Linked DNA regions of Ovis aries. The protein of the gene in region 1 purifies or fractionates together with the protein of each later gene. This does not show direct contact. Links are inferred from orthologs where the notes say so. Each region holds a gene or a part of one and is shown on either strand. Other genes may lie near its edges.

Region 1 (4,909 bases):
TGCCAGCAGCAGCAATTTTTCTTCAATCTTTTTCTAGTCAGAGGAGTTGGCTTCTACGCGGAGTTCAGGAGACGTGACCCTGGAGAAGGGGGACCCGGGGTCCCTTGAGGAGTGGGAAACGGTGGTGGGGGATGACTTCAGCCTCTACTATGATTCCTACTCTGTGGATGAGCGGGTGGACTCTGACAGCAAGGTGAGAGGGAGCCGGCCACGCTCCCAGCCATTCTGCCCCCGCATCCAGGGCTCATTGTCCAGTCTTTCCTGCCCCCCTTTTTCCTCTCTTTCCTTTTCTGAACACCCACTAGTTTCACTGCCCCGTACTATCTATAACTTATTTCCAGTGTGTGCTCTACCCCATACCATCCCCTTGTCCCTCTCCAGTGATAATCACCACCCTGGACTTGGGATTTAACAACCTGTTTTATGGTTTATTTGTTGTTTGCTTGTTTATTCTTTTGCAACATAATGCTTAGTCTTGCCTTTTATTTTTTGTTTGTTTTATCATGGAATCTTTCAGATACACAGAAAAAAATAGAATAGTGAGCCCCCAGGTGGCCATCACCCAGCTTGAAGGATTAGCAATACACTGCAGATCTTGACTCATCTCTTCCTCCCTAATACCCACACCTACTGGATTGGTTCAAAGCAAATAGCCAGGCACCATTTCATTTTATCTAGAAACATTTCCATAAGTCTCTCTAAACATAAGACCTCTTTCTGTTTTCAAAAGATTTACAGATGTTTTGGGGTTTTTTTGGCCGAATCATGTGGCTTACAGGGATCTTAGTTCCCTAGCCAGGGATAGAACCCATGCTTCCTGCAGGGGAAACATGGAGACCTAACCACTGGACCTCCAGGGAAGTTCCTACAAATGATTCTTTAATCCCATCACCTTGCTACCAATAAATCTTCGCATTTTCTCAGTTGTTTCATAAATGGGTTTTCGTTTGTCAAGTTTCAAAAGAGATCCACACATTGATCTGATTATTTGTCTTAGGTTTCTCTTGGTATATAGGTTCCCTGCCTTCTAAAAAAAATATTTTTTTTGCCATTCGTTTGTTAAAGGAACCAAGTCGGTTGTCCTGCAGAATTCTTCACACTTAGGAGTCGGCTGATTGGGAATTGACATGTAATTCTCTGTCCAGTGTTTCTTCCTATAAACTCATAGATCTAGAAGTGTGATCAGACTCAGAGGCATGTTATTTTTCTTTTTAGTTTGGAAGACTTGATAGCAGGTGCTTCCTGTTGTATCATCAGGTGTTGGACATTTGGTCTTTTATTAGTGAAGTTAAGATCAGTGGATTCAGACGATATCACCCTGATTTCATTATGGCATTTCTGATTAGCTTTTCGTGTAGTGTTTTCAGTCTCACGTGTTTATGAACTTCATAGAATCTCATACTATACATTTGTTATCTGGAACAACGACTTTTTTTTTTTCCCTGCTTACTATTATGTTGCAAGATCATCACATTTTTGCATATCACCATAGCACTGTGTTTTTCATTGCTGTATGACACGCCATAGCCCGTCTTTGTACCCAGCCTTTCCTTCCTCTCCTGTCCACAGTCATCTTCACCAGGGAACCATCCTTGGGGATTTATGGTTTTCTTGATCACACCTCCTTCTCTGAGTTCCAGGGGGATGTGTCCTACTCTGCCTCTCTCCCAAGTTCTCCCCAAGAGCGAGCTGTGGCCTGGGGTGGGGGCCACAGCTTTACCTCTCTTCCAGTCTGAGGTTGAAGCTCTGGCTGAACAACTGAGTGAGGAAGAGGAAGAAGAGGAGGAGGAAGAGGAGGAAGAAGAAGAGGAGGAGGAGGAGGAGGAAGAAGAGGAGGAAGATGAAGAGTCCGGCAATCAGTCTGACAGGGTAGGATGGGAGGCCGGCGGCCCCGGAGGAGTGGAGACTGCAGGACCGGAGGTCTGAGTCCTCCAAGGAGGGGGTTACGGACTGGGGGCCACCCGCCACCCTAATGCTCCTCCTCCTGCCCAGAGTGGTTCCAGTGGCCGCCGCAAAGCCAAGAAGAAATGGCGGAAGGACAGCCCGTGGGTGAAGCCATCACGGAAACGGCGGAAACGAGAGCCTCCGAGGGCCAAGGAGCCACGAGGTGAGGAGGCCCCTCTGCTTTGGGGTCCCCTCCTCCAGCCCCCTCCCGGCCCCCAGAAAGCGTGCATGCACACCCACGCTCCGCATGCACCCCCGCGTCCAGGCACCTGTGAGCTCGCACTCTCACTCTCTCTGTCTCTGTGTCAGGAGTGAATGGTGTGGGCTCCTCAGGCCCCAGTGAGTACATGGAGGTCCCTCTGGGGTCCCTGGAGCTGCCCAGCGAGGGGACCCTCTCTCCCAACCACGCTGGTAATTGCCAATTGCCGATTGCCGGGATAGGGAGCCACTAGGGGTGCCCTCAGGGCCAGAGGGGATGGGGAGGAGGGGGACCCCGCTGGAGCTGGGGTGTCCATGACCTGACTTTGGGGGTTCTGGAGCATGGAGGGAAAGTCAGGGTGGGGGTGAGAGGCCCCATGAGGGGTCCTGGTGGGTGAGGGGCTGGGCCGCCCTCAACTCCCTGCTCCCTCTATCCAAGGGGTGTCCAATGACACATCTTCGCTGGAGACAGAACGCGGGTTTGAGGAGCTGCCCCTCTGCAGCTGCCGCATGGAGGCCCCCAAGATAGACCGCATCAGCGAGAGAGCGGGACACAAGTGCATGGCCACGGAGAGCGTGGACGGAGAGGTGGGCCCGGGGCGCTGGCCGGCGAGATGCCAGGGCAGCCGGCCCCGGAGCCCAGCCTCACCTCTTGTCACCCGGCCTCGCCGCCCACAGCTGTCCGGCTGCAACGCTGCCATCCTCAAGCGGGAGACCATGAGACCGTCCAGCCGCGTGGCCCTGATGGTGCTCTGTGAGACCCACCGCGCACGCATGGTCAAACATCACTGCTGCCCCGGCTGTGGCTACTTCTGTACGGCGGTGAGTGACCAGCAGGGCAGCCAGGCGGCATGCCCCACAGGGGCAGGGGCTCCCGGAGCCTGACTGCGTTGTTTCCTTGCCCCTAGGGCACCTTCCTGGAGTGTCACCCTGACTTCCGTGTGGCCCACCGCTTCCACAAGGCCTGTGTGTCCCAGCTAAATGGGATGGTCTTCTGTCCCCACTGTGGGGAGGACGCATCTGAGGCCCAGGAGGTGACCATCCCCCGGGGGGATGGGGTGACCCCACCAGCTGGCACTGCGGCCCCCGCTCCCCCACCCCTGGCCCAGGATGCCCCCGGGAGAGCGGACACTTCCCAGCCCAGGTACTGGCTTCGCCCTTGCCTTCTGTCTCTTCCCTGCGTGGTCCCCATCTGCCCTAGACATTCGCACCTTCTTCCACAGTGCCCGGATGCGGGGGCAGGGGGAGCCTCGGCGTCCACCCTGTGACCCTCTGGCCGACACCATCGACAGCTCAGGGCCCTCCCTAGCCCTGCCCAACGGGGGCTGCCTCTCAGCTGTAGGGCTGCCACCAGGGCCAGGCCGGGAGGCCCTGGAGAAGGCCCTGGTCATCCAGGAGTCGGAGAGGTGAGTAGGGGTTGCACGCGTGGGCGCAGCCGCTGGGACTGGGGCTGGGAGCGTGGATCCGTGGCCCTTGGGACTGGTACTTGAATCTGAGGGCCCCTCTCCCCGGCAGGCGGAAGAAGCTCCGGTTCCACCCCCGGCAGTTGTACCTGTCCGTAAAGCAAGGGGAGCTGCAGAAGGTGATCCTGATGCTGTGTGAGTGTCGCCCTCGCTCATTCAGCAGACCCTACCTGCGCGCTGCTTGTGTGCCCGTCCCTGGGCTCGGAGCCAGGAGGGCAGCCGCGAGGGACATGGTCTTTGCCCTGAAGGACGAGGCTGGTAGGGGACGCAGACACACAGGTCGCCCGTGATGATGGGGACTGTGGTGGCGATAAACGCAGAGGCCCTGGGCCCTATTCTGAGAGCTTATACACTTTCACTCACTTGTATCTTCCCAGTGGAGACTCAGAGCGGTGAATTGGCTTGCCCAGTGCACAGGGTACTGAGGGGCTGGGGCCATTTGAACTTGGGCAGAGCTGGTGCTCTTAACGTCTACTCTCGTGAGGCTGTGCCACGGTGGATGTGAGCACAGGGGAGGCCCAGGAGGCACCCCTGACCAGGCCTGGGGTCCTGAGAAGCCTTCCTGAATGAGATGCCACCCACCCCCACGCTTGCTCACCGCATGTCCCTCCCTCTCCCGGTGTGGTGGGCTCTCCCCACAGTGGACAACTTGGACCCCAACTTCCAGAGTGACCAGCAGAGCAAGCGCACACCCCTGCACGCGGCTGCCCAGAAGGGCTCTGTGGAGATCTGCCATGTGCTGCTACAGGTCAGCGTGGGCCCCACCTGGGACCACAGCACCCCACCCCACCCCACCTCAGCCCCTCCCTGGTGCCAACAGACCTTCCATGCAGGCTGGAGCCAACATCAATGCCGTGGACAAGCAGCAGCGGACGCCGCTGATGGAGGCCGTGGTGAACAACCATCTGGAGGTGGCTCGCTACATGGTGCAGCGCGGGGGCTGCGTCTACAGCAAGGTGCGTGGCCACACAGGCCCAGGCCGGGCTCAGGGGCCGGGCCTGAGGTGCCAGCCTGAGGACTCATCTGCCCGCATCTCCCCCAGGAGGAAGACGGCTCCACCTGCCTCCACCACGCCGCCAAAATTGGGAACCTGGAGATGGTCAGCCTGTTGCTGAGCACAGGACAGGTGGACGTCAACGCCCAGGTCAGCAGCCTGGTCCCCTTTCTCCCTCATCTGACCTCTGACCCTTTCCCTGCATGTCACACTGTTCCAGCCTGTTCCTATCTCTTTTCTCTGCTTCACTTGTATTTCTCTTCATTCTTTTCTGGTTCTTTTTGTTTTTCTTTACCAGTTTTCACTTGCT
Region 2 (4,909 bases), about 22 Mb from region 1:
ACAGGAGCTGGACGTACGACAGGGTTGCAGGAGGCGAGCTCCTTGATGCGGACCATGACTTCCTGGGTAAAGGTCCCAGGCCAGAACACCTGGGAGACCAGCCCTTTGCCGCACGCCTCCTGTGCCGTTAGCTTCCGCCCGCTGAGCAGCATTTCATTAGCCTGGAAGGAAGAAGAGCAGAGGCCGTGTGAGCCGCGGGGAGAGGTGGCAGGGAGACCCAGCCTGGAAACTCTCCACTCTGAGTTCAGATGGTGCCCAAGGGTGAAGCAAGCACCGTGGGGAGTGGCCCACTGGCCGGAGACTCTTACTGAATCTAAGAGGTTCATGTAGAGCAGAACCACACAGACTAACCAAGAAATCCAAGGTCTATCTGCTGTAGAGCCGAAGCTGCAGAGACATGCGGCTCTGGGGGCGGGCCTAGGAGAGGGGGGCAGGGAGCTGAGCCAGGGAGGCAGGGGGCACCCACCACGCGAGGGGCAGCAGACACAGCGAGGCCTCCGGCTGGACACGTGGGTGGGGTCTCGGGCGGCACCAGGCAGAGAGACCCTCCAGGGGCAATGGGGGTCAGGTCCCCACAGGCTGGGACCCAGGGGGCAGGTGTGGCTGCCCCTCCCGAGGACACGTCTCTCCTCACAGCTCTGGGCGTGGCGGGTCCCTCGGGCCTCAGATCCATGACCACTGCCCAGGGAGGTGGGTGCCCGGGAACCCTGCAGTCCTCCCTGTCCAGCCTCGCTGCCCACGGCCAAGGGCAACAACCAGTATCCCCCTGCCTCACCAGGACGGCCCCCGAGGCCCGCAGGGGGCAGCCAGGTAGGGGGAGATGGATCATCCATTTCCTGCCCCTTTTTTCACCTACTAATTTTAACGTCTGGTGGTGCTTCCTGCCTGAGGCCTCCTCTGTGTCTTTCCCAGGCAGGGGGAGGCGAGTTCTGAACCCAGAGGAGCGGCCGTCCCCGTCCCTGGCTGCCCAGCTGCCAGAAGCCATCAGGACAGCTGCCTGGACCCCCAGGGACTCTGTCAAAGGGCAAAGCTGGAGCCTGCGCTCAGCAATGACACACAAAGCCACCAGCCACTCTGGTCCACGGCGGGTGCCCCGGAGCTCCTCGTGGGGTCAGGGGCTGCCTCACAGCTTTGGTAGCCCCCTGCCTGCCTCCGCCTCCTGCCCTGGCTCCAGGAGCGAGGACTGCAACACATCCTTTCCAGAGATACAGAACTACAGCCCAGACTCCTGGTGCGGCGGGTCACGCAGAGCAATTCTGTGCGGAAGCACCTGGCAACTCGGCCCGAGGCGTCCCTCAGAAGTGCAGCTGCCAGGCTATCAGGTCAAGGCCCTTTCCACTGCAAACTCTCGGTGGTTTGGGTTACAGACCAGGTATTCACTCCTGGGGAGGATCAGCGTTAATTATGCAGACATGGAGGCACCTTGTGGAAGGAGGGCCTCTAGGAAATGATGCCAAACAGTGTCAATAAACATGCTATGAACCAGAGCATGACAACTTCCCACGGGTTCACGAATGAGGACAAGAGCTGGACAACACGAGCGTCCGATGGGAACTGCCCAGAGGGACACCTGTACACGGTTAAGAGAAGCAGCAACCAAGGACGGTTCCCAGGACGCCGCGTTGACAAGAGGTACTCACAGATGCTCCTCCCATGATCCTGGGGAACATCACGGTGGAACAGCCGTCTGGACTCTGCCCGAAGGTGGTGTAGGGCGTCTGGAACCACGCCTTTTCATTGGCCCAGACCACGTCACAGAGAGGCAGGATGGATGCTCCTAGCCCAATGGCCGGGCCATTCACGGCTACGATAATAGGTTTCTTGAACTGAATGAAGGTGTTCACAAAGTTTCTAAAACAGAAGGCAAAGGGGGGATTACTCAAAACACTGCAAATGTGGGCAACAGAAAGAAATCTACTTGTATGGAATTCGGTACATCAAGACGTCAAGGCCGTGCGCGTTGACTGTAACTGGCGGTTCTGACGGCCTTCTGGCTGCAAAGGGCCCTGGCTTGTACCGCTGTGCTGCAAAGGCTGAGCGGCGTCCCAGAGGCTGGGCAGGCAGCTGTCGCTACAGGACCCACGTGAATTCCCAGGGAGCGGCACAGCAGAGGGCGCTCTCAGCTTGGGCTCCAGGAACCCTGTCTTCCCCTGATGACAGGGGGGAGCCCAGGAAACCTGAAAGGCTGCAAACCAGTCCAGCAGCTCTCCCTCAGGAAAGAGGGTGCGGGGCCACACAGGACAGCCTGGGATCGGGCAGGAGCCTCAGGGCCTGAGTCTGGACTTGGTCTGTGACTTCAGACAGCTCACTGATAAACTGAAAACACAGGCATTCCTGAGTTTATATGGACCGGACGGAGTGATTCAGACACAGAGACGAGATGCTCAGCGGCTGGTCTAAGACCCAACAGAGCATCCCCCAGCCTGACACACGTCTGCACAGCACCTCCCGCCACTCGCGACAACCATTGAGCAGGCCTCCCAGGGGGCCTAGGTTCCCTCACACACGGGGTGAGGGGTCTCATAGGCCCAGACAACGCCACTGGCCTCTGGAAAGCTGGGCTGCTCTTCAGTTTAGGGCCGGAATCTTAACTGCATTCAGAGGCTGCGTCTTGTGAAGACTGAACACAGTGAAGGGAAGGATAAACACACTGGAAATGAATACAAGATAATCTTTCAAGGCTGTCTGAGCTCTAGCTCAGAAGGACAGAATTCCAGATCCTCAGTCTGGGTGCTACTCCCTACAATTCAGCAATTTAGTCTGTTCAGATGGGCTCTGAAAGTCACGACTTAGCGTGCAGTCTCCCCTCCTCCGCAGACACAGACATGAGGGGCCATGGATTTCTGGCAGGATGAGGTGTGGCGGGGTGGGTGGGTGTGTATACAGTGGGGAGAGGGGCCCTCAGTGTTTGGCAGCTGCACAACTCGGGGGACTGTTCTCCAAGGCCTCTGGAGTCAGCCCTCAGCCCACTCAGGGTCCCTGGAGGTTGGGGGGCTTGAGAATTAACTCACGCTGATGAATGAGAGCATGGGGTCCTGTCATGATGATCACCCTGGGATTCAAGGACACAAAGAGAGCCAGATAACCTCTAAGATAGGTCCTTGAAATAATCCCAGACCATCTCCATGAAGCTATTCAGTTCTGCCACCTTCTGAGGATTCTAGATCAACAACCCGTGACGGAAATGCATCGTCTATGCTCAGTTACAGACGACTGTCAACAAAGTAACTGCCAAACTGTAACCCTGACTTAAACCAGACATCTTCCCCAAGTGGCCCTGCATTCAGCTGCTCCTATGAATGCGGGCAAAGTGGAGACGGTTCCAGTACTCACGACTGGAAGCCACAGACAGGGACGGTAGCTTCACAAGAAAGAGGGGATCAAACCAGTGTAACAATAAAGATTCTAGAGAGCAATGGTAGAATCTTGGACTGCAAGGAGATCCGACCAGCCCATCCTAAAGGAGATCAGTCCTGAATATTCACTGGAAGGACTGATGCTGAAGTGGAAACTCCAGTACTTTGGCCACCTGATGAAAAGGGCCGACTCATTGGAAAAGACCCTAATGCTGGGGAAGATTGAGGGCAGGAGGAGAAGGGGACGACAGAGGATGAGATGGCTGGATGGCATCACCGACTCGATGGACATGAGTTTGGGTAAACTCCGGGAGTTGGTGATGGACTGGGAGGCCTGGCGTGCTGTGATTCATGGGGTCTCAAAGAGTCGGACACGACTCAGTGACTGACAGAGAAATGGTTAAGGGAAGGGATTACTCTCCACGCAGCACTAATCCTTCTCGTGTTGTATGTTCGGAGAAATGTTTGGAGCTGAACTTTTCCCCCTAAGAAGATGAGTTTTCTTTTTCTCTTGCTCGAGATGATAGCCTGCTCTGCACCCGGGGCTCCTCCCAGGAGCAGCATGAGTGGACCAGCTTGCCCGGGAATGGACACCATTGCCTCTTCTCGTGCTAAGGACTCGGAGATGCCAGAGGGAGCACAGTCCGCAGAGAAATCCGTTTCATGTTAGAAACAAACGAAAGCTGCCAGACAGAAGTTCACACAACTGCTTTTCTGTCCAGTAGAAACAGGAGGGCTCAGCCCCACGCTGCCAGAGGTGGGAGCTGCCTCTGGGCCCTGGACGCTCGGACCATCTGCCTGCTGCTTTGGGGGCGTAAAGCAAGCGTATTTTAAACCTTAAAACTGCATGCGCACTCAGATGCATCCCATACAACACACTGAATTTAAACGTCAGCTTCCTCTCAATTGAGTGAAAGGCTATGCTGGGAACAGTGGGAAGGAGAGAGATTATATTTGCCACAAAGTTCACTTTTTAGTGAAAGTGAAGTCGCTCTTTGAGACCCCATGGACTGTAGCCTACCAGGCTCCATGGTCCATGGAATTTTCCAGGCATGAATACTCTGGATTGCCGTTCCCTTCTCCAGAGGATCTCCCCGACCCAGAGATCGAACCTGGGTCTCCTGCATTGCAGGCAGATTCTTTACCGTTTGAGCTATAGGGAAGACCTTTAAAGCTTAAAAAGACCATTCAACAAAATCAAAATTCTATCCATTCTTTTGGAGAATATTTGCCATCCCACAGACCTCACCAAAAAGTTAAAAAACCACCTACAAACGGTAAGCCTCAGAAATGCTTTGGGGAAACGGGAACTGAGCTATCCAGGGCCGGTTTCCTGCCTCTCTCAGCCGAGCTCCCCTGCACCAGTGCGTCTGGGCCGGGACTGAAGGCGACAAGGTCAGGGTCAAGGGCTCGTTTCCTCACGGGCTCTGCTCCCTCCTCAAGCCTCGGCTCCTCCTGGTCCCCCGGACTCCAAGAGCCTAACGCTATAAATTGATCGCTAATAACTTTATCACTCGTATGCTGAATATTTTTATCACAGTTAATCTGCAAAC
Region 3 (4,909 bases), on another chromosome or scaffold:
CCCCCGGGCTCTAGAGCACAGGCTCAGTAGTTGTGGTGCACAGGCCCAGTTGCTCTGTGGCATGTGGGGTCTTCCCGGACCAGGAATTGAACCCGTGTCCCCTGCATTGGCAGGGGAATTCTTTACCACTAAGTCACCAAGGAAGCACAGGTAACTAATATGCTTCTTATCGTAACAAAGCATTTTCTTAAGACAGCTGAATCCTTAATATCTTAGTAAAGTTTTCAACACCTGATCTGCAACGTTTCTTAAGCTGCTAACACTTCAGGGCCACCAAGCTGGTAGATGACTGGTAGGTCTTTGGTTGTTAAAGTTATTCCTGTTAGATCTTGAGTAGGTGAACATCCTTTTAAAAAGCACTTATTTGGCTGTGCCAAGTCTTAGTTGTGGCTGGCAAATCTTTGGTTCTGGCATGTGGGATCTAGTTACCTGAAGAATTGAATCTGGGCCCCCTGCAATGGGGAGCGTGGAGTCTTGGCCACTGGACCACCAGGGAAGGCCCTTGAGTCGGTAAATATCCTAAAGCTCATTCATTCCACTGAGGGCCAGCTATGTACGGTGGGTATTATAGATACAGCACTTCAGATCCCTGGTTTCATGGAAGCAGAACAAGCTGTGCCTGTGGGTAGTGACATTGTGATGGATGTGAAAAGCCTGGGGAGCAGAGAGAGTAGGTGGGAGAAAGTTGTTCAGAATGGAGGGGAAGGGACTTGAGCAAAGACCTCAGCTTAAGAACAAGCCAAGGAGATAGTGAGGGAAAAGACATCCAGGAGGAGGGAACAGCAGGTGGAGGCTGGGAGGGGGCCACGTGGGCTGTGGAAGACTAGGTAAGAGGCTGTGTGGCTAGAGTGGAGGGGCTGGGGGGTTGAGTGGTCCGGGAACAGGGACCCAGGGCAGGGACTGGATCCTGCGGGGCTCTTCAGGCTGAGGCAGTGATGCTGGGGTCTTCTTGGAGGTCGTGGAGTTTGGACTGCGTTTGGGGTTCAGACAAGCCTGTGATTGGGCAGAGTCGCCCTCCTCTCTAGCCTCCTTTGTTCTGCTCTCTCCTGCTCAGTGGAGGTGCTTCCCTTTGCCTCTCTGTGTAAAATAGCTTGGCTCCAGCTCATGTCTCCTTTCAGGGCTCGGCACATGCTTTTCCTCTCCCTGGACAAGAGAATAGTAGGGGCGGCTGGATCGCCTGTTATAAAGCCTCAGGTGGAATCATCTCAAGATGGTCTTTTTGACATTCGTGCCCCACAGTGGGCTGGGCGCCCTAGGAAACCCCGGTGTGTTTCTTCGCAGTGCTCTGTATGCTCGCCGCGTTGGGTGTGTCTCTCCCTCTCCACGAGCAGGAGCCTGATCCACACTGGGACGCTGTCCACTCCCCGGCCACTCCCCGGCTCAAACCTCTGCCTGACAGCACGAGTGATGTTAGCATCGCTGATGTTCACAGCCTTGTGCTGCCCTGTGGCGCTGCTGGGGCAGAGGCTCACGAGAACCAGGGGCTGGAGCCGCTGCAATCAGGAGTATCAGGGCTTGGGGTCTCTGGGTGGCTCCTCAAGAACAGGTCTGCCCCAGACTCCTTCCTGTGGGTAGGGAAATACGAACACACGCCCCAGGAATGGCATATGCATTTGAGCATCAGGCCGTTGAAGCCAGACCACCTGGGTTAGCTGGGGACTCTGTTTACCTCTGGTCCTTGGGCTGAAGGTGGCAGGTGGAAACTAGCCCCTTCTGCACACTAATGGGCCCTGCCCCGGCTGGGGACTTGGCACTTCTCCCTGATGTTACCTCTCCTGACGGAGCACGAGGATAGTCTGTCAGGCTGGGCCCTGGCTCCTCCCCTTCTGTGCATCCACCGTGTCCTGCCCTCCGTGGGTGTGTGTCTTTCCTTCCCACGGCTTCAGGTCCTAATGGCAGGGCTGTGCCCCATGTCTGTCTGCTATGCCTGGTAGAAGAGCTCCACTCAAAGTACTCATGTGTTCATTTTTCTTAATTTGGTAAGATTTCAAGATGAGAATTTCTTGGCTTCCAGGGGCCTAGGCGGTGGGAATGTGGCGGGGGATACTCTCAGACCTGCACAGCACTTCTGGCCTTGAGGCCAGCACAGGCAGGTCCGTAAGCAGAACCCACCCCAATCCCATCCTGCTATCTCAAATTCAGCATCCCGCTCGATGATACACATTCTCCAAATGTCACGGAGCGTCTCTAGGCGTTGGATGTTCTTGAACTTGAGGCTTCACCCCCCCGCCTAGAGGGAGGTGGAAGTCCCTCCTTCTCATGTCCTCAGTGCACCTCGCCTCTTATGATGCTGTGTAATATGCATTATCTTAATCTTTTTGAGGTGAAAGTCATAATGCAAACATAAAATAGTGTGAAGCAGTAAATCCAGAGAAACAAAACAGATCAGGAATTGCCGGGGTGGTGTGGGGAGCGGGGAAGGAGTGACTGCGCAGTGGGTTTGAGGTTTCATTTTCAGCAGCAAGAACGTTTTGGAGCTAGAGGGGGTGGTGGCACAGGTCTGGGTAGGAGGTATTGGAACAGCCAGTGCGTCTCCACAAGCCACTCCTCAAGGGAGGACGCGCCAGGGGCTCCCCTGTGAGGCTTCCCGCTGTCAGTCTTGCTGGCCTCTCCACATTCCCTTCTCATACTCTTGCTCTGGGTGCCCAGGTGGGCGAATCAGAGGCTATGGGGTGAGAGCACTGTGCTGACCCAGTGCTCTGGCAGCCAGGGAGGCAGTGGAGTCTAGGAGCCACACCCCTTCCCCCCGTGTCTAAGCTTGGCTCTGCCTCTGCCTGCCTCTGGTCTCCTGGTAAACGGCCTCTGTCGCCCATCTAGCGTGTACTGTAAACGCGGCCACCTTTGCCCGATCGACACCGGCCTCATTGAGAAAGATGTCGAGCTCCTCTTTTCTGGTTCAGCAAAGCCGATATACGAGGATGACCCATCTCCCGAAGGTAAGGGGAATGTTCCAGATTGTCTGGGACAGTCAGTTTATAAACCGAACAGAGTCTGGGCTGTGAGCAGCTACAAGCAGTCGCGCTCTGATGGCTCCAGTAAGGCTGCCCTGCTCATCTGATCAAGAGGTGTGGGCTCAGGTGGGGACTCAGTGCCACTTAACCTGCTTGGGTTTTTGAGGCATATTCTTTTAGTCGTGTCCAACTCTGCAACCCCATGGACTGTAGCCCATCAAGGATCCTCTGTCCATGGGATTTTCCAGGCAAGAAGACTGGAGTGAGTTGCCATTTCTTAGTCCACTTCATTTTAAGAAACCTTTTCCTCCTCTTTTAGGTGGTATTAATGGCAAAAATTTTGGGCCCATAAACGAATGGTGGATTGCTGGTTTTGATGGAGGTGAAAAGGCTCTTCTTGGCTTCAGCACCTGTAAGTATGTGGCCAACTGTGGACTGTTCTGGAATCTGAAGTGAAAGATGCTTCTGTCTTCCACGGGGCTTGGTTGGGCTCTAGAAAGTCTCGGGCTCTCATGACTGTGTGGGAAGCATGTCAGGCTTGATTGGGATGGCCTCTCTTACTAGTTACAACTGACCCTGGAACTGACCTTGCAGCTGAAACCCAGACCGAATTCCAAAAGCCAGAGTCGAGCTGGGAAAGCCACTTGGCCAGTCTCTTCTCTGGTTGGCTCCGACAGGCCCCTTCTGAATGAGCTAACCCTGACCGTACCTCCTGGGTTTTGACGCTTGAGTGTGGAGTGACTGCCTGTCCCGTGAGCCTCACAGCCTCATCCCTGCCGTTTGGCTACTGCCGCTGCCGTCAGGCTCACACTGCTCTTATGCGTCTGTCTACTCCAGCATTTGCCGAGTATATCTTGATGGATCCCAGCCCAGAGTACGCACCACTATTCAGCGTGATGCAGGAGAAGATCTACATAAGTAAGATAGTGGTTGAGTTCCTGCAGAGCAACCCTGACTCCACCTACGAAGACCTGATCAATAAGATTGAGGTAAGAGGCTTAGGTCCTTCATTATCTGAGATTCACAGATCGTTTACATGTGATGTTGTTCATTCACTGATTTGGGTCCAACTCTTGGTGACCCCATGGGCTGCAGCTCTCCAGTCTCCTCTGTCCTTGGGATTTCCTGGGAAAGGATACTGGCAGGCGGGTTCTTCACCACTGAGCCACGTGGGAAGTCCCATTTACATGTGATACAGATGTACCAAGAAGCATGTTTGTTTGATGTAAACCAGTTTTGCTTAAGCCTAAGAGAAACTTCCGTTTTTGTTTTTGCTTTTTCCAAAAGACCACTGTTCCTCCTTGTATGCTCAACTTGAATCGATTCACAGAGGATTCTCTCCTGCGGCATGCCCAGTTCGTGGTGGAGCAAGTAGAGAGTTATGATCGGGCTGGGGACAGTGACGAGCAGCCCATCTTCCTGAGCCCCTGCATGAGAGACCTCATCAAGCTGGCCGGGGTCACCCTGGGAAAAAGGTGAGGGTGCAGCAGGAGTGAGCCTGAAGACCTGAGACGGAGTCTGGAAGGCAGGGCACTGTGGGAGCGCTTCCTGGGCCACTAACACCGTGGAATCTCTCTCCCAGGCGAGCCGAAAGGCGGCAGACCATCCGGCAACCCGCCAAGGAGAAGGACAAGGGCCCCACCAAGGCCACCACCACCAAGCTGGTCTACCAGATCTTCGACACTTTCTTTGCGGAGCAAATTGAGAAAGATGACAAGGAAGACAAGGAGAATGCCTTCAAGCGCCGGCGCTGTGGCGTCTGTGAGGTAACCTCGCCTAAGCTGGCTCTCCTGCCCCTCATGATCTCTGAGGAGCTCGCTGTTTTCTCTTTTTGGCTTGAGAGTCTTACTGCGTAGACGTGACCCCCAAAAACAGAGCTCAGAGAAGGAGTTACTTATCCAAGGGGACTTGCACGTCTTACGGGACAGCTGTCAAAAGAGGCACGCGCAGGCACTTTG
Region 4 (4,007 bases), on another chromosome or scaffold:
AAATATAATATCTTATTTTTCAATGCAAGTCTTGTGGGGAATAAACAGAACCTTGATTCTGGTAACACTGCAGAAAACATAATTTTCCAATTAGTCTGTCTTTAAGTATCCATGTGCAACAGTTTATTAATAACTGCTTACATGTACTGGTCTTTCATTGAGTGAACACAGTTAACTGACTAAATGTAGTAAACCTTAGAAACACTTCTTCCATCCTATATAAAATATAGAGACTACTTACTGTTTGAAGTACTCAATTTGCTCTGATGTCACTCTCATTCACTTTTCCCCATTTTCCTGCTTTACTATTTATAAATGGATAATTTAATGTGGCTTTGAAAAAAAAAGACAAAGAATTTCAAATTTACATCCAATTCAAATTTGCTATTTAAACGGTTTTCTTGTTCTATGAAGCTGCTTCTGCCATTAGTAGAGAAAATGAAGTTTCTGTAATGGAGGCAGGCTTTTTGAGTAGTGATGTGACTTCCACCATGCCAGCTCCAGTCCGTGGAAGATTAGCGTTTACAATGTGTCGTTGTAAGTGCTTAATCCAGTCTTCCTGAACAGACAATGGTCCACGAAAGACCAGGCCACAAAACCTATAGAAGAAGTTGATAACAGTTCTTTTAACATGACCAATTCCCTTTATTTAACAGTTCTCTTAACATAATCGATTCCCTTTATTTAAAACCAATTCCCCCCTTCCAAAAAACCCAATTCCCATAAAATTCATGAACACAAAGGGCAAACTTTATACTGAAGATAGTACTAGACAGCTTCTAAGTACCTGTGAGGTCAAAATGATTAAATGTAATATCAAAACTGCCAATTCATACTAACTCTAGTAATACCTGCAGAGATGGGAACATTGCTATGAAAATTAATTAAAAGGTCTTAACACCTACACATCTTAATTTCAAAATGCACTATTTCTTTTTTTCAAAAATGCACTCTTCAATTTAGAATTCCTTAAATTGCATGAGGATGAGTATGGAAGGAAGTGTGAATGAGTCTGTATATCTACACTCAGAAGTACGAGTGGAGAGAAAATATACTTCTAATAAGCAGGAAGTCAAGATAATGTGAAAAACATCAAATTAAAGGAAACAAAGAACACGAATAAAACACAACAACAAAAAAAGCCACTTTTACAAATCACAATATCATAGAGGCCCTTCGCTAATATAAAAAACTTGATTAGCTGCTGAAGTACAGCATATTATGAGCCATATAAGGTTTTAAGTCTGTCTCTGAAAGTTCATTTGTAACTTGATTTTTGAGACTGTACCTTCAGTCAAAAATTAAAAATCTCAAACAAAATAACTAGTACGTCTCAAAGCAAAATCTGAAGAAACTGAGCAGATTAGGTAATACAGACATATACCTGCATCGGAGAATGTAAACCTCGTCAGCACCATGAGGTAATGATAAAAGTTTCTTCTTGCTTCCGGATCTTGACCTTGATTTCTTTTGCTTACAATCTAAGGCTAAAAAGGGGAAGAAAAAGACTTAACATTTCTTACATATTCTAAGTACACATACATACAGATACTTCTTGGGAGGTTAGACCATCTAAATCAAGTTAGAAAATGTCTGCATTCATTCGTATTCCCTGAAGCATGCACTAACTTGCAGCTGGTTCTCTAATAGCAGTAATACTATCAGCATATACTCTTCTTGTACTCATTTTTCAAACAATGCTTAACCATACCAAATCAGAACTGAGAAGATAAAACTAAAACAACTTGAAATTACGAAAGTGGTCAATTACCACAGCAATGGCAATCTTTTCTCTTACAATCGTATATACATTATTTTAACATCTGGTTAAATCTTACTTCCAGGAAAACTATAATGTCTTATATAAGATCATCAAGTTTGCATTTGATTACTTCTCCATTAATCAGATTTCACATACTTTGAAAACTTAGTAAAAAGTTCAATGCAATTCATCTTGAATTTTACAATAATAAATAGCTCTTAAAATTATAAGCTAGCCCTACGTTTGAAAGGACAAAGAATGCTCAACTTTCACTTTTAAACTGAATCTGTATTGTATACACAAGCATATGTTCTATTTTACTAGAAAAATAGATCCAGATTATCTCACATAAGTTAACAAATGGACCACAAATTAAATGATGACTATTTGTTACATTATTTTCTATTTTAAAAAAGTGATTAAAAAGGGAAAAAAAAGATTTTTACGTTAAAGTGCATCAAAATTCTAGTGCTAACTGTTCTTGAAATTTGTTACTTGACTTCTCCTTTAATCATTTATTTAAAAAAATCTAATTTAATAAAGAAAAGAGATTTTTTTCATAGGTAGGAACAGATGGGACATAACATTTTATTCTTTAAATACAACTACACCATTCCTTTGGACAAAGTGATGATAGTATTCCAGGGTGCTGCTGGTCAATTAGCAGGAAGAGATGGTAAGAATTTATCTCTAGGGGCCCAAGGGGGAAGGGAAACAAATGTAACAGAAGAGTTGTCCAAATGAATTTTCTTCTGTTAACCTGTCATGTGAAATGCCCTGGAAAAATTCTAGGGAAGAGAGAATAGGAATTGGCTATTCAATGATTGTGTGAAATGAGTTTTCAAAGTCCAGGTTCCAAAAGAACAGATGCTAATATTAAAAAACCAGTAAACAGACTACTGTTTCTTACAGTAGTCAAGTGGCAATGATAACAGAAATGTCATATAGAAAATTAAAAACCATGAGAAGCCTAAATCTCATTGAAGCCACTGTCTTTTGCTTCCTATCACTTGCCTCTTTAAAAGTCTTTCTCTGTTTATCCTCAGAAGAAGAATCTAATAAGTAAAGAACTACAGGAATTCAAGTTATGTATTTAAGAATGGCTGCTTCAAAGCTAAACAACCAAAATCTGGAACAGAAAAATCTTACAAGGTTCTCATTAGTTAGCTCATACAAGAGCCTGGCACATGGTAGGAACTCAATGAATACTTCTGCAACGAAAAATAAAGAAAAACCCAGTAATTTAATCTTTGACATTTAAACAGCGTATGAATAGAAATTTGTTCTGCCACTGTGTAATATATACTGTAGTTCCTGCAGAACACTTCTGCATCATTTGGTTAAGTGAACATGTTGCTAGCAGTCACACTTTTCTTCACTTGCCAGTCTAGCTTGTATGTAGAAACTAGGTTCTTCACAACCAGTAGAAAGAATGAGGTAACACATACTCTCTAACCAGCACATTCTTCTTTCTAGTTGCCTCGGTGAGCAATTTGAATTTAGGTGAATTTCAAAGAAATTCATACACTACAAGAGTTTAAGGAACTCAAAAAGGATTAAGTGCTACTGGATGTCAGCTCCTCTTTTCTTATCTATAAGGTAAACCACACGCAATCCCTGTCTCTGTTACATGGAATAAGGGAACCATTTGGTGTATCATGAGATTACAGACAGAATCTTTGATGAGATTACACACAGAATCTTTGATGAGCTTCCTGGGTTGTCAAAATTGCCACATTGTATTCAAATTTCTTCTAAAATGTAAATAAATTACTATAGGATACAAATAAAATATATTGTAACCATCCTTTAAATATTTGTTCACAGAGTGCCATAACGTTAGGTGTGTAAAGCAAATTGAGGGAGAGGGACAGAGGGTGATGGGCAAGTCTGTAAAAGAATGATATACCAGTCAGTTATAAAACATTTAAATCACATTTAGATGCTGTGATACTTTAAAAAAAAATGGAACTGGAAATATTTACTCAGAGGTGTAGAAATGTTTTTTACTTTAACAGAGGGAAACAAGAGTTTTTCTGACTTTTGATATTATATGAATTCTAGAAACTCTGAAGTTTAAGCTGTCTTATGAATGATCAGATCTAAATTTTAAATGAAAATACCATACTTTTGTTGTAATTAATATTTGAAGGTATTATGAGTTTGGAAAGTAGGACAACTCTGTCAGCATATGATTGAGAATCTCTAGTACTTAAGAGTTTTCTAAGTAAGTTTAGGGAATAAC
Region 5 (4,909 bases), on another chromosome or scaffold:
CAGTGTCACAGGGACCTCTTGATCACTCTTAACCCGTGGTTAAATCTGTTGATTTCTTCTGTGGGGTCCCTTGTTTGTTCTTTACCACAGTCACTAATTTCGTTCAGATTCTGATTATGCTCTGATAAATGATAGCAGTGGATTCCAACTTAGCAAACTAAATTTCTCCCTGCCTAGGTTCATCTTGAATAATAGGTTGTGTGCATAATTTTCCCAAAGCCCTTCTATAGCGTCAATCATTGTTCAGCAGCTACTCTCAAATGAATCAAAAGTAGACTATGACAGATGCCTTTAGAAACTAAGTAAAACTAGAGAAAATAGGTTAAAAAAAACTAGCCAGCCCTTTTTTTTTTTTTTAGTTACTGCAAATCAGGATAACCTGCTTATTCATTTTTTGTTTCTGTAGTCGTTCAGTTGTTTCTTTGACTTGTCTTGACTTTTCTCTGCCAATTCTGTTACTGTTTCTCTAATTCGGCACTTCTCTTTCAAATACAGTGATCAATCACTTCTGACTCTACTCTGTTCTCTGCTTAGTCAGTATTGGGGGTGTTGCCAACTTTTTCTTTGAGAAATGAGTTTTTATAAAACAAGTCACACTTGTCATATGTGTAGCCAAGAGAGAAAAATCTTGGACTTAACCATGAAAGTCAGATACTCCACTTTCCAAATGATAGTTAAAAGAAAGAAAGAAAAAAATTCTTTCCATGCAGTTGGTAGATTACTTATCTTTTTGACATATAACTGAGCTAGATGTCAGCTGTTAGTGACAAGCTTTATTAAGGATAATGATCACAATTTATTATGTTCCACTGAAAAGCCTGGTTTGCAGTTACCTTATCCTAGAAATGATGAGAATGGTTCTCCAGATGGTCTCATACCAACAACATCAATATCACCTGGTACTTTAAAAAATGCAGAAACTCACGCCTCACCTCAGCCCTGCTAATCTTTGAGGTAGAGTTCAGTTGTAAGTTTAAATAAGCCCTCAAGGTGATTCTGTTGCCCTTGAGTAAGACAGATCAAAGGTAGAGAGCCTGTTGTTGTTGAGCTACTAAGTCGGGTCCAACTCTTTGCAACCCTGTGAACTGCAGCAGGCCAGACTTCCCTGTCCTTCACTATCTCCCTGAGTTTGCTTAAACTTATGTTTTATTTTATTGGTAATCATACCTCTTTTGGTGATCTCTCAAAGTATCAGTTAAACGCAGTTGTAAAAATTAGAGATAACAGCATATTAAGGTAATCTTAAAGATGAAATATTATGAAACAAGCTGTTGGTAAATTCTCAAGGTCCATGTGAATGTTGGTTGCAAGCCTACACTAAAGTGTTTTTCTTGGTTTGGCCCTTATTCATAATAGTGACCTCAGTGGCGTCTTGCTCATAGAAGTGACTTCAGTTGCTAAACCTGCTTCTAATTTGCGATGCAGAATAAGTTTATGGAAAATATGAGCTGAGATTAAGAGTTCTGGGTATTACAATAAAGTCTCTGTCAGTACATCATGTTTCTCTCTGCTTGGCTTTCTTATTTACATATAAAGGTACCACTCTCATCCGGTACTTTTAAAGATCAAATAAGATAGTATAATATTCTCACTTTGTTTTTGTTAAGAAACAAGAATACGGTAGTGAATCAAAGCATTTATCACAAATGCCTGGCATATAGAAGATGTGATGGCAGCTATATGTTATCATTGTTTATTTAACCCATCTTTTCTACATCATATTCTTATTTCTTTCTTGATTTTGAAGTTCTTTTTTCTTAAATCCTGACTCCTAATTCCTAAATTTCTGTTTCTTTGTACCAAATGCTTATACTGGACCAGGTGTCTGGAGGGACTAGATCCTTGAACACTTCAAGCATTATCTCTTATTGTACTTTGAAGGTCACAGTAATTAAGTCAATTAAGTATACCAACTTGTCATTGATTTCTTTCAGAAACAGATTCACAAACTGATTTATAACTACAGTATCCATGTACAATATGAAATATTAATAGAAGTGTTAAACAGCATTTTCTTCCTATTTCTTTTATAAGGAAATTTTTTCCAAATTATCATTATTTGCTTTTTACACACAAATTCTGAGTGATGGGAGTTAACTGTATGATCTAATTATTTAGTACCATCAGGTTATATCCTCCAATCTGATGTATTCATCCTCACTATGAGACGGTATCTCACACACAGGCTAAACTTGTTTCTGTCCATGAGTAAGACTGTGTACTGCTGGAGAAATACAAAGTCTTATTTCACGATTATCCTTTTTCTAGGTTCTAAACTGACTCGGTTAAGTTTTTCTTCAGAGTGTGTATGTGTATGTTATAGGCTCAGACTATTTGGGTTAAATTTTCTTTTAATAATTTTGTCATGTTTCGCTGACACTCTGTAACACTGTATTACTGATTAGAATGAGTACCTTCTGCAGAAATCTCATTTCATTTCATAACGTGGATATTTCTTCATTTCACCCTCAGGAAAGTGTGCTTTTTGTGGTTGGGGGAGGTTCAGGTCCCTGGCTGAAACGGCCTGATACACTGTTAAAGAGTATGGGTTTTGTAATTAGACTCAAAATCTGTTTTCACTACTTGTAACTTGTGTGGTTTTTGGAGAAATTGCTTAATCTGCTCGCCTCAGTTTCCTCATCTATGAAGTGGAGATAGCACAACAGTTTTGTAAGATGTACAGTAAAGATTACGTGAAATGATTTTACATAACCCTAGGAAAGAATATATGGCTGATGTAATCCAGTATCATTCATGTATGTTATTGCTGTTTTTAATGTGTTTTGGCTGGGCTCTGAATTTCATTCCCCTTTCTTGGTTTCTGTTTCCCCACTGCCAAATTATGTATGGTACTCATAGTAAATGTGAACTGATTGTTGGTGTACAGTCACTGAATTGAAGCAGAAAAGAATAGTAAAGATTAGGGTTTTTCTGGTTTCAGAATTATATTGTTTTACCTTTTATGATTTGTGAATTCTTGATAACAGTTCTAAGAATATTCTGCTGTATTAAGATTTGTGAATGATAGGAATATGAAATGTCATCTGTTAAAAATTTAACTTTTGTTCGGTCTATTTAGGAAGGCGACATGCCGATTCATGAACTTCTCAGCCTTTATGGTTATGATAGTACTATTCGGCTACCTGAAGATGATGAGGAGGAGGAAGAGGAAGAGGAAGAAGATGATGAAGATGCTGATAATGATGATAACAGTGGATGTAGTGGGGAAAATAAAGTAAGGTTATACATGTATTTTTATCTTCCTGAAGTTAAAATTTTATTGATACATTGATTTTGATTGCTTGTTTTTGTCATTTCTTTTCACTCTAACTTTAAAGGCAACATATTTAAATGTTAAAACTTAAGATATAGACATATCTTAATGCAAATTGGAAGTTCCCTGTAATCTACTCCAGAGAGGCAATAGTTTGCTCTGTCATTCCTGTTTTTTTAATGCCTGTTCTAAATAAATTTGTACCAACTTTTAAAATGCTGTTTTTTTAAAGTAATAATGGTTAATTGTACTCATTTTTATTTTGTTTTGAAATAACTTCAGGTTTGCATAAGAGATTCAAAGATAATTCAGTGCATCTCTTTGTACTCTAGTCGACTTTCTCTACTGTTAGCATCTTGTGTAACCATGGTATATTCATATAGTCTTCTAGTTTTATCTGGAATACTGTGACCTTTCATCTGTAGCACTTTTTTTCTTAAAGAGATTTAATGTGTTATTCCACAGGAAGAGAATATAAAAGATTCCTCAGGTCAAGAGGATGAAACTCAGTCTTCCAATGATGATCCATCTCAATCTGTTGCTTCTCAAGATGCCCAGGAAATAATCCGTCCACGTCGATGTAAATATTTTGATACGAGTAAGTATTATTAGTTACTATTTTTTTATATGATTTTTGCTATTTAATATTTTAGTGGTTTTTTCCAATACTCTGAATTCATTGATTTGGAAATCTCTCTCATCAGTAATGGGATTTTGTTCTAGATTATTAGTTTAGTTGTACTGGTGCCATGTTGTCCATGAATATGCTACTGTAATTATTGTGTCACTATGATACCTGATTTTGAATGTGTTCCTTTTTTTCCACTCTTGACTGTTCTTTAAATTTGTTGTTTCATGGTCATCTTTTTTATTTTTCCTAGTCTTTTCCTCAGTTTTCCATTTTCTGCTTTCTTTGCCTCTCAGTCTAGATAATATTCATAAGCATTGCTTTCTCTAACCAGTGGTTCCCAAGTCTAAAGAAATTGTTGGCCCTTGAGGTAGGAATATATTGTACAGAGAAAGAACTCTGCTGATGTTTCTACCTCCTCAAAGTCATTGACCAGTAGTCGATACAACATTTAACGTATGTATCTTGAATATTTGCATGTATCACTACTCCATAATGTTTTCATTCTAAGCAAGAATCCTTACCTTAGAAGTAAGGTAAGAAAAAGTTAACCATTAGTGTTGTTAGTTTAAATATGTAGTTTAAATTTCTATATTTAAAAAAGAAAAATACTTGGATACAATATAATAACCTCTCCTGAAGTGTGGTAAAGTAAAAATTGATTAAACATGGTTACTGCTTTGTGTGAATGACTTCTGTTACACATTTTTGTTTAGAGGTCAGTGTAGGGCTGCTGGTGATCATTTTATTGTGAATTTTTCATTTAGAGATACAGTCCAACTGAAAAGTGTTACCACTGCACAGAGAAATTAATTACATTTAATTATTTGGAGAAAATGTATTTTTCCCCTAGTTAAACCAGGAGCAGGTCCATTGCCAAAATTTGCTTAAAAGTGGAATACTAAGTGACTGCGTCTTGAAATAATATATCATAGTTCAGATGTTATTTCAGTATGCATGGAAACTATACATACAGTGCCCATCTTAGCTTTTCCATAGAAAGAATT
Region 6 (4,909 bases), on another chromosome or scaffold:
AGACTTGGGTCTGTCTTTCTGTTTTACTTTTTTATTAGTCCTTTGTATTCTGGTTCTTGTCATTTGATGCATTTTCCAGCTAAGTAAAGAGACCAAGAAACAACACAGCATGACTTCTGTAGCCGTTTTTGACATTCAGTGTGTATTTCCTCAACCTAACGTTTATGTCCTTTTAAAAAGGAGCAGTCTGGGGGTGGGGGGGGGGGAGGAGCAATCTGACTTTGAGACACTGGCCAGTGCAGAGTTTGGTTCCTAGGCCAGGATGCTGGCCTTTTGATGCTGCTGACCTTGAAAACCACCCCCACACACACATGTCCCTTACATTGTAATGTTCATCTGGGGCCCCTGGCAGCATTCTCAGCAGTGCTGATGGCTGTCATGTAGGCAGCTGGTAAGATAGGTGATTGTATATTTTAAAGGTGCAGGGGGGGATTTCGTTTCTTTCTTTAGACCACTGCAGAGGAAATTTGTTAGTCGGCATTATGCCTGATTTAAGATTACTGCCTGTGTGATGATTTTAGCATTTTCCTCGCCTCGGCTCCTTTTCAGCTGCTTGAACATTTTTCTTCTCTTCCCTCCCTATGTGGCAAACTGTTTTCAGCCGCCAGCTATGATTTACGACTTGGTTGCTGTGCCAGCATTCCAGCTGTGAGCAGCTGTGTGCACATCTGGGACCCTCCTCCCTTTAAGCGCCCCCAAAAGAGGCTATGCTTTTGAGCCTGTATGTCCCCTGATTCATGCATGGGGTTTCCTGCTCCGTGCGGGTCCTGGTATCTTTGGGACCACCTGGATGCTGAAGGCTTTGTATCTCTCAGAAGAAAGCAAGGTGAAAGGCAGATCAGAGATTTTAGCATGAAAATCAGACATTGGCGATTTAGTTCATTTGGACAGTCTAAGTCTTTTTTGTGTTACCATTAGATAAGCTGGCATTATCTTCCATAGTAAGGTTGTTTAAATTACCTGGTTTGTATAAAATTTCACCATTTTGCTCTCACCAGTGCCATCGAAACGGAATCAAATCCTATGCTCCTTATCTAGATTGCATGATTGCAATTTGACCAAGTTTGAATAATCCCCTACAGAATTTTTTTTTTTTTAATCCCTCTCCAGTTTACTCTATAAAGCTAATGACCTATCTCCATCAGGAGGGGACAGGCACAGATCAGGACCTCTTCCCCAGTTCATGGGGATTATAGTATGTGATCTCTGAAAGAAATTTGCTATCTTATGGTAGTTCTTTGAATCCCTTCTTAATCTTAATCATTGTTCATTTGTAAGTACAGATGGCTATGTGTAAAGAAGTATTAAAAATACTGGTCAAAAAAAAAATAAAAATAAAAATAAAAATAAAATAAAAATACTGGTCAGTATTAGGTGAACTGAAAGTCCAGAGAATAAACTCCAGATTGAGAGGTGGTATAGTTGAAGTTTATAAAATGAAAAAGGATTTAGTTCACCTGGACTTGTTTAGCATCTGAGAAGCAAGTTTAAGGATATTAGATTAGGGGATGAGAGGAGTTCCTAGATGATGACTCCAGAATATTTAAGGGATATTAGCAGTTTTAGGGGCTACTCCCAGGCCTTTGATGAAATACTAAAAGGACAGCTGCATCTTCCTGCAAAGTAGCTCTTAGCATCTCTGTTACTGGCTGACCCAGTATTGTATTTCTGCAGTTCTAAGAACTTTATGAATTGAGTGACAAATATGATATCCAGTAATATTAACTTAGGTTGTGTTTTGTTGAGCTGAGAAACAGGAAGGTTTTCTACTCTTACCTCCAAGCCATAACCTTTCTTCATCTTCTGTTTATAGCAGAGCAATGATATCGCTCGGGGCTTTGAGAGAGGACTGGAACCAGAAAAGATCATTGGGGCAACAGATTCCTGTGGTGACTTAATGTTCCTAATGAAATGGTGAGAGAGATTGGGCCTCCCTCTGCAATTGTGTTTCTTTGCAGTGACTTGAATTCATATGGAAGATAGGGAGGGAAGACTGAGTACTCCCCAGCTAAGAATTTTGATTGTCAGGGATCTAAATTTTTAACTGATACCAGCTGTCAGTATTAAATGGGAATTACGGTTCAGAGTGGATTTAAGATTGTAAAACTTTGGTATTAAGCCAAATTACATTAGCCCACATACCAGAAAATGGTAGAATTGAGGTAGGAAACATATAAACATGACCTAACCATTTATTTACACAGTTCTGAATCGTTTACCGTTACACCATGAGCCTGTGGCCATGGGCTAGAAATTGAGTGAGGCTTTCTGCCACCACTGAAGACCAAGACCGCTGAATAATGTATAAAAGAGAAAAGTAATCTTAACAAAAAGCATTAAGGATAATACTAGCCAAAGCACAAGTTATTTCATCCGGTAGAGGGAATAGCTTTAGAGGAAAGTGTAGTTGCTTCCCCTCAGCTTGGTTTCTTAAAGTCAGAGTGATTTATGGTGCAGCCCCCCTGCCTTTCTGTTTCCAAGTGTTCTGACTTGTGATTTAAGTTGGATCTCTAAATAGAGGGTTCCTGCTACAGTGCCACTAAGGAAGCTAATTACCTTGAAAGTTGGATAGTCAGGAGGTTTAACATTTTATTTGATCGAAATTTTGCTGGTAAATTACCCAGAAGCCTATATTTGAAGAATCACTATAATCTGTCCAAAGTCAGGAGCTGTATTGCCTGCTCTTCCCACTTAGCCATATGTGGAACTTAACGATTTACATTCACATATTAACTAGCTTTTTCCACCACAGTCCAAATTTGGGTAGCTGCTCTAAGCTGTGTGTTTCCCCCCTCCTCTTCCTATCCATAATGCTTACCTCCATGAGTTCAGCATCTCCATTTTCTAGAAAAGGAGTTAGGTGGAGGGGAAAAAAAAGAAGTTAGTTGTCTTTTCCCACATCTCAGTGGAATGTTAATTTAAAAAAAATTTTTTTTCTTGATTTGGAATCTTGATTAAGGAACTTGCTAGATTTTTGTTGTTTTTGTTACACTGGATAGTAAAAAGTGTAACTTGAGTAATTGAAATTTGCAGCTAATTCCTGCATTTCATTTTAGTGACTAGGTTTTACATTCTTTGCTGACTTAGGTTTCTATTTTCTTATTGTTCCAACCTACAGTTCTGACCAAAGGGATGAGTGTTTAAAAGGCCAGAAGATGAGGAGGGTTAGGACCCTTTCATGATCCAGATGATCCAGAAATTGGATTGAGCAATTTATGCGTAATCAATAGGGCTGAATGTAGCTTTGATTGTGTGTTCACTCACATGCTCATACACACAAATAAAACTTCTGAAAGCAGAATTTATAGAGTAGTTTAATTTTCAGCCTTTTAATTAAACCCGATATGTGTTCCATCTATTCTAGCTGAAGACTTCTATTTTCTTCCTGATGTAGTCATTAAATGATGTTTACTAACAATTTGATTCATTGGAGCCGTTAGGATCCTTTTCCTTTTGATGGAGAGGAAATCAAGTCAGCTAATTCATAATTCAGTAACACAAACCAGTGTTTGGACAGACTCTCATTCTTCCTCCCTTCTAAGTCTCATATTCTTTCTCTCCAGGAAAGACACAGATGAAGCAGACCTGGTTCTTGCAAAAGAAGCTAATGTTAAATGTCCACAAATTGTGATAGCATTTTATGAAGAGAGACTGACGTGGCATGCATATCCTGAGGATGCGGAAAACAAAGAGAAAGAAACAGCAAAGAGCTAAAGGAGGGGGTGGTCTCTGTCATTTCTCTTTGTACATAATACATTCAGCTCCCTGCCTCCTCTCCTTTCTACCCACCCCCTTCTATCCTAAACACATCCATAAAAAATGTGCTTATCACTGTGCTCCACAGGAGAAATGTTGGTATTGGTTCTCTTGTAACATAACTGATGGTCTGATTCATGATAAGTGTCTCTCTGTGAAGACCAGGCATTTACATACTGTGTGTAATTCCCACCATTTTTTCCTTTGCCCTGCTCTCTCCCTTCTGCTCCCCTGTGACCTCAAGATGAATTTTAACTTTTTAGTCACCTTAGAGTCTTGATCTTTTCGGGGTTGGTTGCTTTTTAGGTGGGGGATTTTGGTATAATGATGTTGAATTTTGGTTTCTTGCTTTGGCTCTTAGAACATGTTGATGACCAGCTAGCCTTTGTTTTGAGATGTTGGGATGGAAGAGATGTTGCCCGTCTTTTAAAAAAGCCAATAGCAACTGCCTACCTGTTGGGGCTTTCCCAACCTCATTCAGCTCTACCCAGGAGAATACAGGGTTCCTGATGTGGTCTTCTGGGCCACCCTCTGTTGTTCATCCTCACCATCCTCCCAGAAGAGCGGCATCCTTAGGAGGGCTTGAAATTTTACGTTCAGATTTGTCAAGGCACTCCTCCTAGCCCCAGGACTTTTGGCCTTATTTCTTAGCAGTCCCTGATTCGGCTTCTGCAAGTTGGTGAAGTCTGTTATAAAATGACAAGATTATTAACTGTGGAAATTTGTAGCTATTAGTACATGAGGATGATGGGGTAGGATACAATTGTCTTTATTATCACATTTGGTATGTATGTATTATTTCCTTCCATCTCTCTCATTTGGATTATATATTTATGTAGGTGTGAGTGACTGCCTGGTGCTTGTGCCAAGGTGCTAGGCACCCTCCAACCCTGCCAACTTTTGTGGCCTCCCAAAGCAGTCGTGTTACCAAAGAGGCTTCAGACTTCTCAGTGGACCCCACTTTACCCTCCATGCCATTATTTTCAGTGGGGAATTCTTGGAGGGGAGCCACTGGCCACAGTATCAATTTTAAATATTCATAGCATTTATAATCATAAATTCCTTGCTTTGTTGACTTACGGATTTGCCACCAAGAGTCCCCAAAGTGTTAATGCTCTTGCCTTTTTCCACCGTCAAACTCTTCAGTTGTTGG

Evidence for each region.
Region 2: the proteins of EHMT2 (region 1) and CDYL purify together in Homo sapiens (affinity purification with mass spectrometry; 4 studies listed by BioGRID and IntAct, with this or other methods). This does not show direct contact. The link is inferred for Ovis aries from reciprocal best matches to the Homo sapiens genes EHMT2 and CDYL.
Region 3: the proteins of EHMT2 (region 1) and DNMT1 purify together in Homo sapiens (affinity purification with western blotting; 3 studies listed by BioGRID, with this or other methods). This does not show direct contact. The link is inferred for Ovis aries from reciprocal best matches to the Homo sapiens genes EHMT2 and DNMT1.
Region 4: the proteins of EHMT2 (region 1) and ZNF644 purify together in Homo sapiens (affinity purification with mass spectrometry; 3 studies listed by BioGRID and IntAct, with this or other methods). This does not show direct contact. The link is inferred for Ovis aries from reciprocal best matches to the Homo sapiens genes EHMT2 and ZNF644.
Region 5: the proteins of EHMT2 (region 1) and MIER1 purify together in Homo sapiens (co-immunoprecipitation; 3 studies listed by BioGRID and IntAct, with this or other methods). This does not show direct contact. The link is inferred for Ovis aries from reciprocal best matches to the Homo sapiens genes EHMT2 and MIER1.
Region 6: the proteins of EHMT2 (region 1) and CBX5 purify together in Homo sapiens (affinity purification with mass spectrometry; 3 studies listed by BioGRID and IntAct, with this or other methods). This does not show direct contact. The link is inferred for Ovis aries from reciprocal best matches to the Homo sapiens genes EHMT2 and CBX5.

Annotation. Positions count from the first base shown.
Region 1 is NC_056073.1:26,541,196-26,546,104, forward strand, and holds part of EHMT2 (histone-lysine N-methyltransferase EHMT2), read left to right. Parts: intron 1-37; coding exon 38-193; intron 194-1,731; coding exon 1,732-1,869; intron 1,870-1,992; coding exon 1,993-2,107; intron 2,108-2,253; coding exon 2,254-2,355; intron 2,356-2,581; coding exon 2,582-2,730; intron 2,731-2,820; coding exon 2,821-2,964; intron 2,965-3,050; coding exon 3,051-3,286; intron 3,287-3,365; coding exon 3,366-3,548; intron 3,549-3,657; coding exon 3,658-3,740; intron 3,741-4,246; coding exon 4,247-4,353; intron 4,354-4,438; coding exon 4,439-4,561; intron 4,562-4,647; coding exon 4,648-4,749; intron 4,750-4,909. UniProt on the Homo sapiens protein: Histone methyltransferase that specifically mono- and dimethylates 'Lys-9' of histone H3 (H3K9me1 and H3K9me2, respectively) in euchromatin.
Region 2 is NC_056073.1:48,727,006-48,731,914, forward strand, and holds part of CDYL (chromodomain Y-like protein), read right to left. Parts: intron 1,852-4,909; coding exon 1,641-1,851; intron 162-1,640; coding exon 18-161; intron 1-17.
Region 3 is NC_056058.1:12,557,904-12,562,812, reverse strand, and holds part of DNMT1 (DNA (cytosine-5)-methyltransferase 1), read left to right. Parts: intron 1-2,817; coding exon 2,818-2,936; intron 2,937-3,270; coding exon 3,271-3,363; intron 3,364-3,788; coding exon 3,789-3,940; intron 3,941-4,238; coding exon 4,239-4,426; intron 4,427-4,533; coding exon 4,534-4,717; intron 4,718-4,909. UniProt on the Homo sapiens protein: Methylates CpG residues. Preferentially methylates hemimethylated DNA. Associates with DNA replication sites in S phase maintaining the methylation pattern in the newly synthesized strand, that is essential for epigenetic inheritance.
Region 4 is NC_056054.1:68,270,281-68,274,287, forward strand, and holds part of ZNF644 (zinc finger protein 644), read right to left. Parts: intron 1,488-4,007; coding exon 1,385-1,487; intron 600-1,384; coding exon 407-599; 3' UTR 1-406.
Region 5 is NC_056054.1:42,628,278-42,633,186, forward strand, and holds part of MIER1 (mesoderm induction early response protein 1), read left to right. Parts: intron 1-3,079; coding exon 3,080-3,235; intron 3,236-3,739; coding exon 3,740-3,872; intron 3,873-4,909. UniProt on the Homo sapiens protein: Transcriptional repressor regulating the expression of a number of genes including SP1 target genes. Probably functions through recruitment of HDAC1 a histone deacetylase involved in chromatin silencing.
Region 6 is NC_056056.1:132,292,430-132,297,338, forward strand, and holds the end of CBX5 (chromobox protein homolog 5), read left to right. Parts: intron 1-1,813; coding exon 1,814-1,914; intron 1,915-3,563; coding exon 3,564-3,714; downstream 3,715-4,909. UniProt on the Homo sapiens protein: Component of heterochromatin that recognizes and binds histone H3 tails methylated at 'Lys-9' (H3K9me), leading to epigenetic repression. In contrast, it is excluded from chromatin when 'Tyr-41' of histone H3 is phosphorylated (H3Y41ph).